Linked DNA regions of Macaca fascicularis. The protein of the gene in region 2 purifies or fractionates together with the protein of the main gene of each other region. This does not show direct contact. Links are inferred from orthologs where the notes say so. Each region holds a gene or a part of one and is shown on either strand. Other genes may lie near its edges. The genes, in order: PFN1 and VASP.

What was found.
Region 1: the proteins of VASP (region 2) and PFN1 purify together in Homo sapiens (affinity purification with western blotting; 3 studies listed by BioGRID and IntAct, with this or other methods). This does not show direct contact. The link is inferred for Macaca fascicularis from reciprocal best matches to the Homo sapiens genes VASP and PFN1.

What each region holds. Positions count from the first base shown.
Region 1 is NC_088390.1:5,064,321-5,068,475, reverse strand, and holds PFN1 (profilin-1), read left to right. Parts: upstream 1-1,298; 5' UTR 1,299-1,461; coding exon 1,462-1,593; intron 1,594-2,993; coding exon 2,994-3,395; 3' UTR 3,396-3,410; downstream 3,411-4,155. UniProt on the Homo sapiens protein: Binds to actin and affects the structure of the cytoskeleton. At high concentrations, profilin prevents the polymerization of actin, whereas it enhances it at low concentrations. By binding to PIP2, it inhibits the formation of IP3 and DG.
Region 2 is NC_088393.1:53,578,640-53,582,442, reverse strand, and holds part of VASP (vasodilator-stimulated phosphoprotein), read right to left. Parts: intron 1,811-3,803; coding exon 1,639-1,810; intron 1,543-1,638; coding exon 1,377-1,542; intron 1-1,376. UniProt on the Homo sapiens protein: Ena/VASP proteins are actin-associated proteins involved in a range of processes dependent on cytoskeleton remodeling and cell polarity such as axon guidance, lamellipodial and filopodial dynamics, platelet activation and cell migration.

The DNA.
Region 1 (4,155 bases), on a different chromosome or scaffold from region 2:
AGTGACTCAGCCGCGCGGCTGTCGAGGAACACGGGCTCGAGGGGCGTCGGGGACTGTGGGGTTCGGCGTGGACGCCAGGGATGCGCGCCGCACTCGGGAGGAGGAGAGAGAAAACCAAGCCCCTTTCCGCCCGGGCCGCGCTCCGTGACCTCGCGCCCCTAACCCAGGCTCCGGAAGCGGCCCAGCCCTCGGCGGCGGGTCGGAGAAGACGGCTTCACCTCGGCCGCCACCCGGCCGCCCCGCCCTCCCCAGGTGGCGGCGAGCGCACATCTGACTGAGAAGAAACCCAAAGGGCCCGAAGTGGGACTTTCCCCTTCTTGAAAAAGTTGCCACTCTTGCAACTTGAGTATTCTTCCGCCTCGAAAAATAGCCCCGCCTGTTAAGCCCCGCGGGTGTCCGCGCTCAGTGACCTCTGCAGACTCAGGCCAAGGGGCACGGCCGGTGATCCAGACATTGCCTGCCCGGGGCGGGCGCGGCTGGGATATGGGATAAGGCCCTGGGCTAGAGCCGATCCAGAGAAGGGACAATCCTCTGGACTGAGAATGGGCCCTGGTGAACCTAACCTGCACTACCCGGGAAGACGCTGGGGACCGAAGTGGCCCCGGTGGGTGCCTTCAGCTATGAGAGCGACTAGGGTATTTGGCCAAACTCCCTTTGCTTTCCTATTGAATAAGTAAAATCAAGGGTGGTGAGGCGGCAGCGTGCACGGCTTCGCCCCCGCCCTTTCCGCCAGGCGGGAGACACGTCCCCAGCCCGCCTTCCTTTCCCGGAGGGTCCACAGGGGTCGGGTCGGGCGCGCTCCCGTGCAGCCGGCTCCGGCCCGGACCGCCCCATGCGCTCTCCCTCCCGGCCTTGGCGCAGGCGCAGGCGCGGGCACACGCGCCGCCGCCCGCCGGTCCTTCCCTTCGGCGGAGGTGGGGGAAGGAGGAGTCATCCCGTTTAACCCTGGACTCCCCGAACTCTCCTTAATTTGCTAAATTTGCGGCTTGCTAATTCTTCCTCCTTTCTCTTCCCTTCCTTCCTTCTGGCTCACTCCCTGCCCCGATAGCAAAGTCTGGTTTATATTCAATGCAAATTGGAGCAAACCCTACCCTTCACCTCTCTGCCGCCACCCCCCATCTTTCTACATTGCTTTCCATCGAACTCTGCAAATTTTGCAATAGGGGGAGGGATTTTTAAAATTGCATTTGCAAACTTCGGTGTCTGGGCTGGCGAGTGGGGGAGGGAGGGAATGGGGAGTAGGCCCCGCCCCTACCGTCCTTTGCAAATAAAAATCTAGCGGGGCGGGGGGGAGGAGCAGGAAGTGGCGGTGCGAGGGCTGCTGCACAGCGAGCAGAGCCGCGGTCCGGACGGCAGCGCGTGTCTCGAGCTCTCCGCCTCCCCCCGCCCGCCAGCCGAGGCAGCTCGTGCCCAGCCCGCGGCCCCAGCAGCAGCGCCGAGAGCAGCCCCAGTAGCAGCGCCATGGCCGGGTGGAACGCCTACATCGACAACCTCATGGCGGACGGGACCTGTCAGGACGCGGCCATCGTGGGTTACAAGGACTCGCCCTCCGTCTGGGCCGCCGTCCCCGGGAAAACCTTCGTCAACATCACGGTACTGCGAGGCCTGCGGTCCGGGGCACTGGTCGGGCTTGGACCCTGTGGGAGGGACTTGGGTGGGGGCGGGCGCGGTCTAGAGCGCGCAGCGAGAGGCCCTGACTGGGTGCTTGTCCTGGAAGCGGCGCGAATGGCGGCTGCACGTGAGCGGGTCCCTCGGTTGCTCCTAAGTCGTATGCCCCAGGCGGCGGCGCCCATCCCGCCCGCTACCCCGCTTTCCGCGACGGGGCGTTACATCCGGGGCACAGGGCGGGGAGGGGCGCGGCGCCCGGTGCGGCGGCCCACTTCCGCCTCTCCCAGGGCGGGGTGGGGACGCGCCTCAATTTTAATTGGGGATTGGGATTGAGAGGTGACCCGGGGACCCTCGAATCCCCAGCTCCCCGTCCGGCCGCCAGCTCGCGCCCCTCTACCATTGTTTCCCCTGGTGCGGGAGGGAGCCCCAGGCGCGTGGTATTGGTCCCTTGCCCACCCTCTGTGGACTCCCGGCCCCTCCCAACTCCGTTAGAGAGGGCGAGGCCACCACACGCCCCCCCAGCTCAGCACGTTGGACTCAACATTCCTGCGAGGCCAATCCCGGAAGTCCCCTCGCCCTCCCTTCCCGCCATCCGGCGGGGCCTGGAGCAGGGGAACTTTGTGAGAAGTTCTGAGACAGCATAAGCGAAAGAATATGAGTTGACTACCGCTGCTCCCACCACCATCTCCCTGTCCACACTGCCCGGAAGTGGGGAGGGGGAGCGGAAGTTCGAAAGGGGGGGAAGGGGGTTTCCGGGCGGGAGGGAACCGGATGTGGGGGCTTGGGGTGAAAGGGGGAGGGGGGAAAAGGTTCCTGGGGTACCTAGACCCGAGAGCTGACTTGCCGGGTCTAGCCCCCGTCCACCTTCAGAAGTTTTCCAACTTTCCCGGAAAGCCCCCAGGGGTCTGCTTCCTCTTGTCAGGGCAGACATACCTGGAGCTAAACTAGGTTACTTGGAGACCCAGGCGTCCGGGCCCTAAGAGCTCCTGCAGAACCTTTGACCAAATAAGGGCAAAGTTGCTTCTCTTGCCTCGCCCGCCCCCCTCCCTTCCCCTCTCCGCTTCTGCTTTTCCTGAAGGAGAGTTCTGAGCATCCAAAGACTCCTCACTTTTATCACTGATTCCCTTTATTTCCTGGGTTTACTTTCCCCCATTAACACTGAGATCTAAATCTCTAGAGGAGTATATCATCTCTTCCTCCCTAGTCCCATATTCTAGGTTTGAGAATCATGATCGTTTTCTGCACTAACGTTCCACAGTCCTCAGAGTTTCTCACAGTTTATTGATGGGTACTGAGTATATAACTTCGCGGGGTGGGTCTTTGGAGAACAAGGTGGGAATCTTGGTGCACTGACTAACTTGATGGGCGCTTGGTTCCTCTTCCAGCCAGCTGAGGTGGGTGTCCTGGTTGGCAAAGACCGGTCAAGTTTTTACGTCAATGGGCTGACACTTGGGGGCCAGAAATGTTCGGTGATCCGGGACTCACTGCTGCAGGATGGGGAGTTTAGCATGGATCTTCGTACCAAGAGCACCGGTGGGGCCCCCACCTTCAATGTCACTGTCACCAAGACTGACAAGAGTGAGTTCCTGAGTCTTACCATTCCTCTAGCGTCAAGATCTCTCATGTACCGCCTTCTGGTAATCTTGAGGGTGCTTTCTTGTGTGATTCCCCAGCATGAAGGCAGTCAGACCAGTATTCTGCCCCTTGTCTGCTGGATGCTGGATGGAACATGGGATAGTCCCTCCATTTCCGTCTCAGTTCCTCATCTTGTAATTCGAAGTTGTTGAACTGCATTACCTCTTAAGTTACTTCCTGCCTTGAGCTCGGATTAGAAACTGTTTTCTAGGAGTATAGGTAGATTCTTGGGGTCCTGAATCATCATCTAGTTAATCGTTTGAGCTCTTTTGTTAGAACCTGGAGGTGGCATGCTCATCCACAGCCCTTTCTAGCCTGAACACGAGTCAACAGTCTATGAGCCTTTGACCCCTAAGTTTTTAGTCTGTTCCTCTCCAGCATTTAAGCTTGATTTTCCTCTTTTGAAAAGCCTTATTGTTTCAGGGTGACTGACAGCCTGCCTGTGTGTGTGTGTTGGGGGGGGTTGGGAGAGATGAGGTTGGGTTACAGCCCCCAGGGCTGGACAGCTGCTGAACAGCTGGCAGGGGGTGGAATTGTGACACCTGGGTCCTAGCCTCCTTTCTCTTTCCTCCTCCAGCGCTAGTCCTGCTGATGGGCAAAGAAGGTGTCCACGGTGGTTTGATCAACAAGAAATGTTATGAAATGGCCTCCCACCTTCGGCGCTCCCAGTACTGACCTCGTCTGTCCCTTCCCCTTCACCGCTCCCCACAGCTTTGCACCCCTTTCCTCCCCCATACACACATACACCATTTTATTTTTTAGGCCATTACCCCATACCCCTTATTGCTGCCAAAACCACATGGGCTGGGGACCAGGGCTGGATGGACAGACAACTCCCCCTACCCATACCCCTCCTGTGTGTGGTTGGAAAACTTTTTTGTTTTTTGGGTTTTTTTTTTTTTTTTCTGAATA
Region 2 (3,803 bases):
CACTTATAATCCCAGCACTTTGGGAGGCAGAGGCAGGTGGATCACTTGAGGCCAGGAGTTCAAAACCAGCCTGGCCAATATGGTGAAACCCCTTCTCTACTAAAATTACAAAGGCCAGGCGTGGTGGCTCACACCTGTAATCCCAACACTCTGGGAGGCCTAGGCGGGCGGATCACGAGGTCAAGAGATCGAAACCATCCTGGCTAACATGGTGAAACCCTGTCTCTACTAAGGACACAAAAAATTACCCGGGTGTGGTGGCTCACGCCTGTAGTCCCAGCTATTCGGGAGGCTAGGGCAGGTGAATCGTTTGAACCCGGGAGGCGGCGGTTGCAGTGAGGCGAGATCACGCCACTGCACTCCAGCCTGGGCGACAGAGCGAGACTCTGTCTCAAAAAAATAAAAAAATAAAAATAAAAACAAAATACAAAAAAATAGCTGGGCATGGTGGCGCATGCCTGTAACCCCAGCTACTCAGGAGGCTCTTTTTTTTTTCTGGGATGAAGTCTCACTCTTGTCCCCCAGAAGAATCACTCAAACCCAGGAGGTGGAGATTGCAGTGAGCTGAGGTTACACCACTGCACTCCAGCTTGGGTGACAGAGCAAGACTCTGTCTCAAAAAAAGAGCCAGGTATGGTGATGCACACCTGTATTCCCAGCTACTTAGGAGGTTGAGGCAAGAGGCTCACTTGAGCCCAGGAGGTGGAGGCTGCAGAGAGCCATGATTGTGCCAGTGCACACCAGCCTGGGCAACAGAGCAAGATCCCGTTTCTGGGGCGGTACCTACCTATGTCTTGATCTGGGAGGTGGTTTGCCAGGAGTGTGCCTGTGTAAAGTTCATGGAGTACTGATCCCTGAGTAATTATGCATTTTTTGTGTGTTTGTTTTCTTTTTGAGAAGGAGTCTTGCTCTGTCGCCAGGCTGAAGTGCACAGTGGCACGATCTCGGCTCACTGCAACCTCCACCTCCTGGGTTCAAGTGCTTCTCGTGCCTCAGCCTCCCAAGTAGCCGGGATTTCAGGTGCCTGCCACCACGCCCAGCTAATTTGTATTTTAGTAGAGACGCAATTTCACCATGTTGGGCAGGCTGGTCTTGAACTCCTGACCTCAGGTAATCCACCTGCCTCGGCCTCCCAAAGTGCCGAGATTACAGGCATGAGCCACCACACTAGGCCAATCGTGCATTTTATGCATAGGTGTGCACGGGCACACTGGAACGCACAAAATCCTCATGATAATTTTCCATGATAGCAATGAATTTGCTCCATTTTACCAATGAGTAAGCAAAGTCCCAGAGTGGTAAACCGGCAGCCTGAGGCCACACAGCCGCATTCAGTGGTCCCCTTTGCCCACCCACTGCCCACCGCTGTTTCTGACCTTCCAACGCCTCTAGGGCACTGGCCATGCCGGCAGCAAACTGGGCTGCATCCTCCTTGCTGCCGAAGTTGAGGCCCCAGACCTGGCGGGCGTCGCGCCACTGATGGAAGTTGGGGGTGGCCTGATTATACTTGACGCCCCGGACGATGGAACAGTTGATGACCACCTGGTGGGAGGGGAAAGGGAGGGTGAGGGGTGGCAGGCGCAGGGGTGGGGCAGGTAGGGGCTGAGCCCGCAAAGAGGGGCCTGCGGGAAGCTGTACCTGCTGGTCGGGCTGCATCTTCCGGCCCACGACGCGAAAGGAATTGGCCGTGGGGTTGTGGTAGATCTGGACGCGGCTGAAGGCCTGGGGACCTGTGCCAGCAGGGAGCCATCGCTTGTTGCCGTCATCATAAAGCATCACAGTGGCCCGGCTGGAACAGATGACCGTCTCGCTGCAGGCGGGAGGAAAAGGGAGAGGGGCCGGTCACCTTCTCATCTGGGTCTCCCTGGGAGATTCCAAGGGACAAAGACAGAGTGTGGAAGGAAGAGAGTGAGGGAGGCAGGAGCCAGGTGGACAGAAAGAGAGCGGGGAGAGAGATCAGGAGAGAAAATCAGACCAGGAGAGACGGACAAACACACAAACGAGACGTAAGACAGACAGACACAGGGAGGGAGAAACTGGAAGTGGAAGAGACAGATGCAGAGAGAGGTGGGAAAGGGAGAGCTGGGTTGACAAACGGGAGAGAGACAGACTGAAAGGCAGACAGACAGACAGATGAACAGATAGGGGAGGGGAGGGGAAAAAGGATGGGCAGACAGCGGACCTGGAGGAAAAGGCAGAAAGACATAGAAAGAGATCAAGATGGTCTTGGCATGGTGTCTCACACCTGTAATCCCAGCACTTTGGAGGCTGAGGCAGGAGGATCACTTAAGCCCAAGCATTTCAGACCAGCCCAGCTGCCCAGCTAATTTTTGTATTTTAGTAGAGACGCCATTTCACCATGTTGGGCAGGCTGGTCTTGAACTCCTGACCTCAGGTAATCCACCTGCCTCGGCCTCCCAAAGTGCCGAGATTACAGGCATGAGCCACCACGCTAGGCCAATCGTGCATTTTATGCATAGGTGTGCACGGGCACACTGGAACGCACAAAATCCTCATGATAATCTCTAATAATAATTACTTTTAGTTTCAGTTTTGTTTTTGAGACACAGTCTTGCTCTGTCACCCAGGCTGGAATGTGGCCTCGATCTCCTGAGCTCAATTGATCCTCCCACTTCAGCCTCCCAAGTAGTTGGGACTATAAGCATGCACCACCACACCCAACTAATTTTTTTTTTTTAGACAGTCTCACTCTGTCACCCGGGCTGCAATGCAGTGGCATGATCTCGGCTCACCAAAACCTCTGCCTCCCAGGTTCAAGCCATTCTCCTGCCTCAGCCACGTGAGTAGCTGGGATCACAGGCACGCACCACCAAGCCCAGCTAATTTTTTGTATTTTTAGTAGAGACAGGGTTTCACCGTGTTGGCCAGGCTGATCTCGAACTCCTGGGCTCAAGTGGTCCATTTGCCTCAGCCCCCCAAAGTGCTAGGATTATAGGGGTGAACCACCATACCCAGACTACAAAAAAAAATTTTTAATGAAAAATAAAAAACACAACACAACAAAACTAACAAGAAGGAAAAGATAAAGATGGAGGCTGGGCACGGTGGCTCAGGCTTGTAATTCCAGCACTTTGGGAGGCCGAGGCGGGCGGATCACGAGGTCAGGAGATCGAGACCATCCTGGCTAACAAGGTGAAACCCCATCTCTATAAAAATACAAAAAATTAGCTGGCGTGGTGGTGGGCGCCTATAGTCTCAGCTACTCAGGAGGCTGAGGCAGGAGAATGGCGTGAACCTGGGAGGTGGAGCTTGCAGTGAGCCAAGATCATGCCACTGCACTCCAGCCTGGGCGACAAGTGAGATTGTCTCAAAAAAAAAAAAAAAGATAAAGATGGAGAGACAGGCTGAGAGGTGTAAGAGGCTGAGGCCAACGCCGGCGGGGAGGGATGCAGGTTAGCAGAGCGAGGGCAGGAGGGAAGACAGAGGGGCCAGAAGGAGGCCAAGAGCCCAGAGTTGCACTAGGGACCAGCCCCTGCCTGGCCTCAGTTTCCCTATCTCTACCAGCAGGCTTGGACATGCCCCCACGCCACCACTGCCTGCTCAGGAAGAAGCTGAGACTTGGAAGGGGAAGTGTGGGGCCTGCAGTAGGTTGGGGATCCATCCCAGACCTCTGAGCTCTTCCTCCAAAGGGACTTCCCGCTGCCCACCCATCGCCTGGCTCCCCAGGGCACTAGCGGCCATTCCCCAGATACTCCCTGCTCCGTGTCTGGCCCTTGTTGGGTGGGGCTGGGGATGAAGACACAGCAGTGACCCAGACAGCCCCGGCACCACCCTCCTGGGGC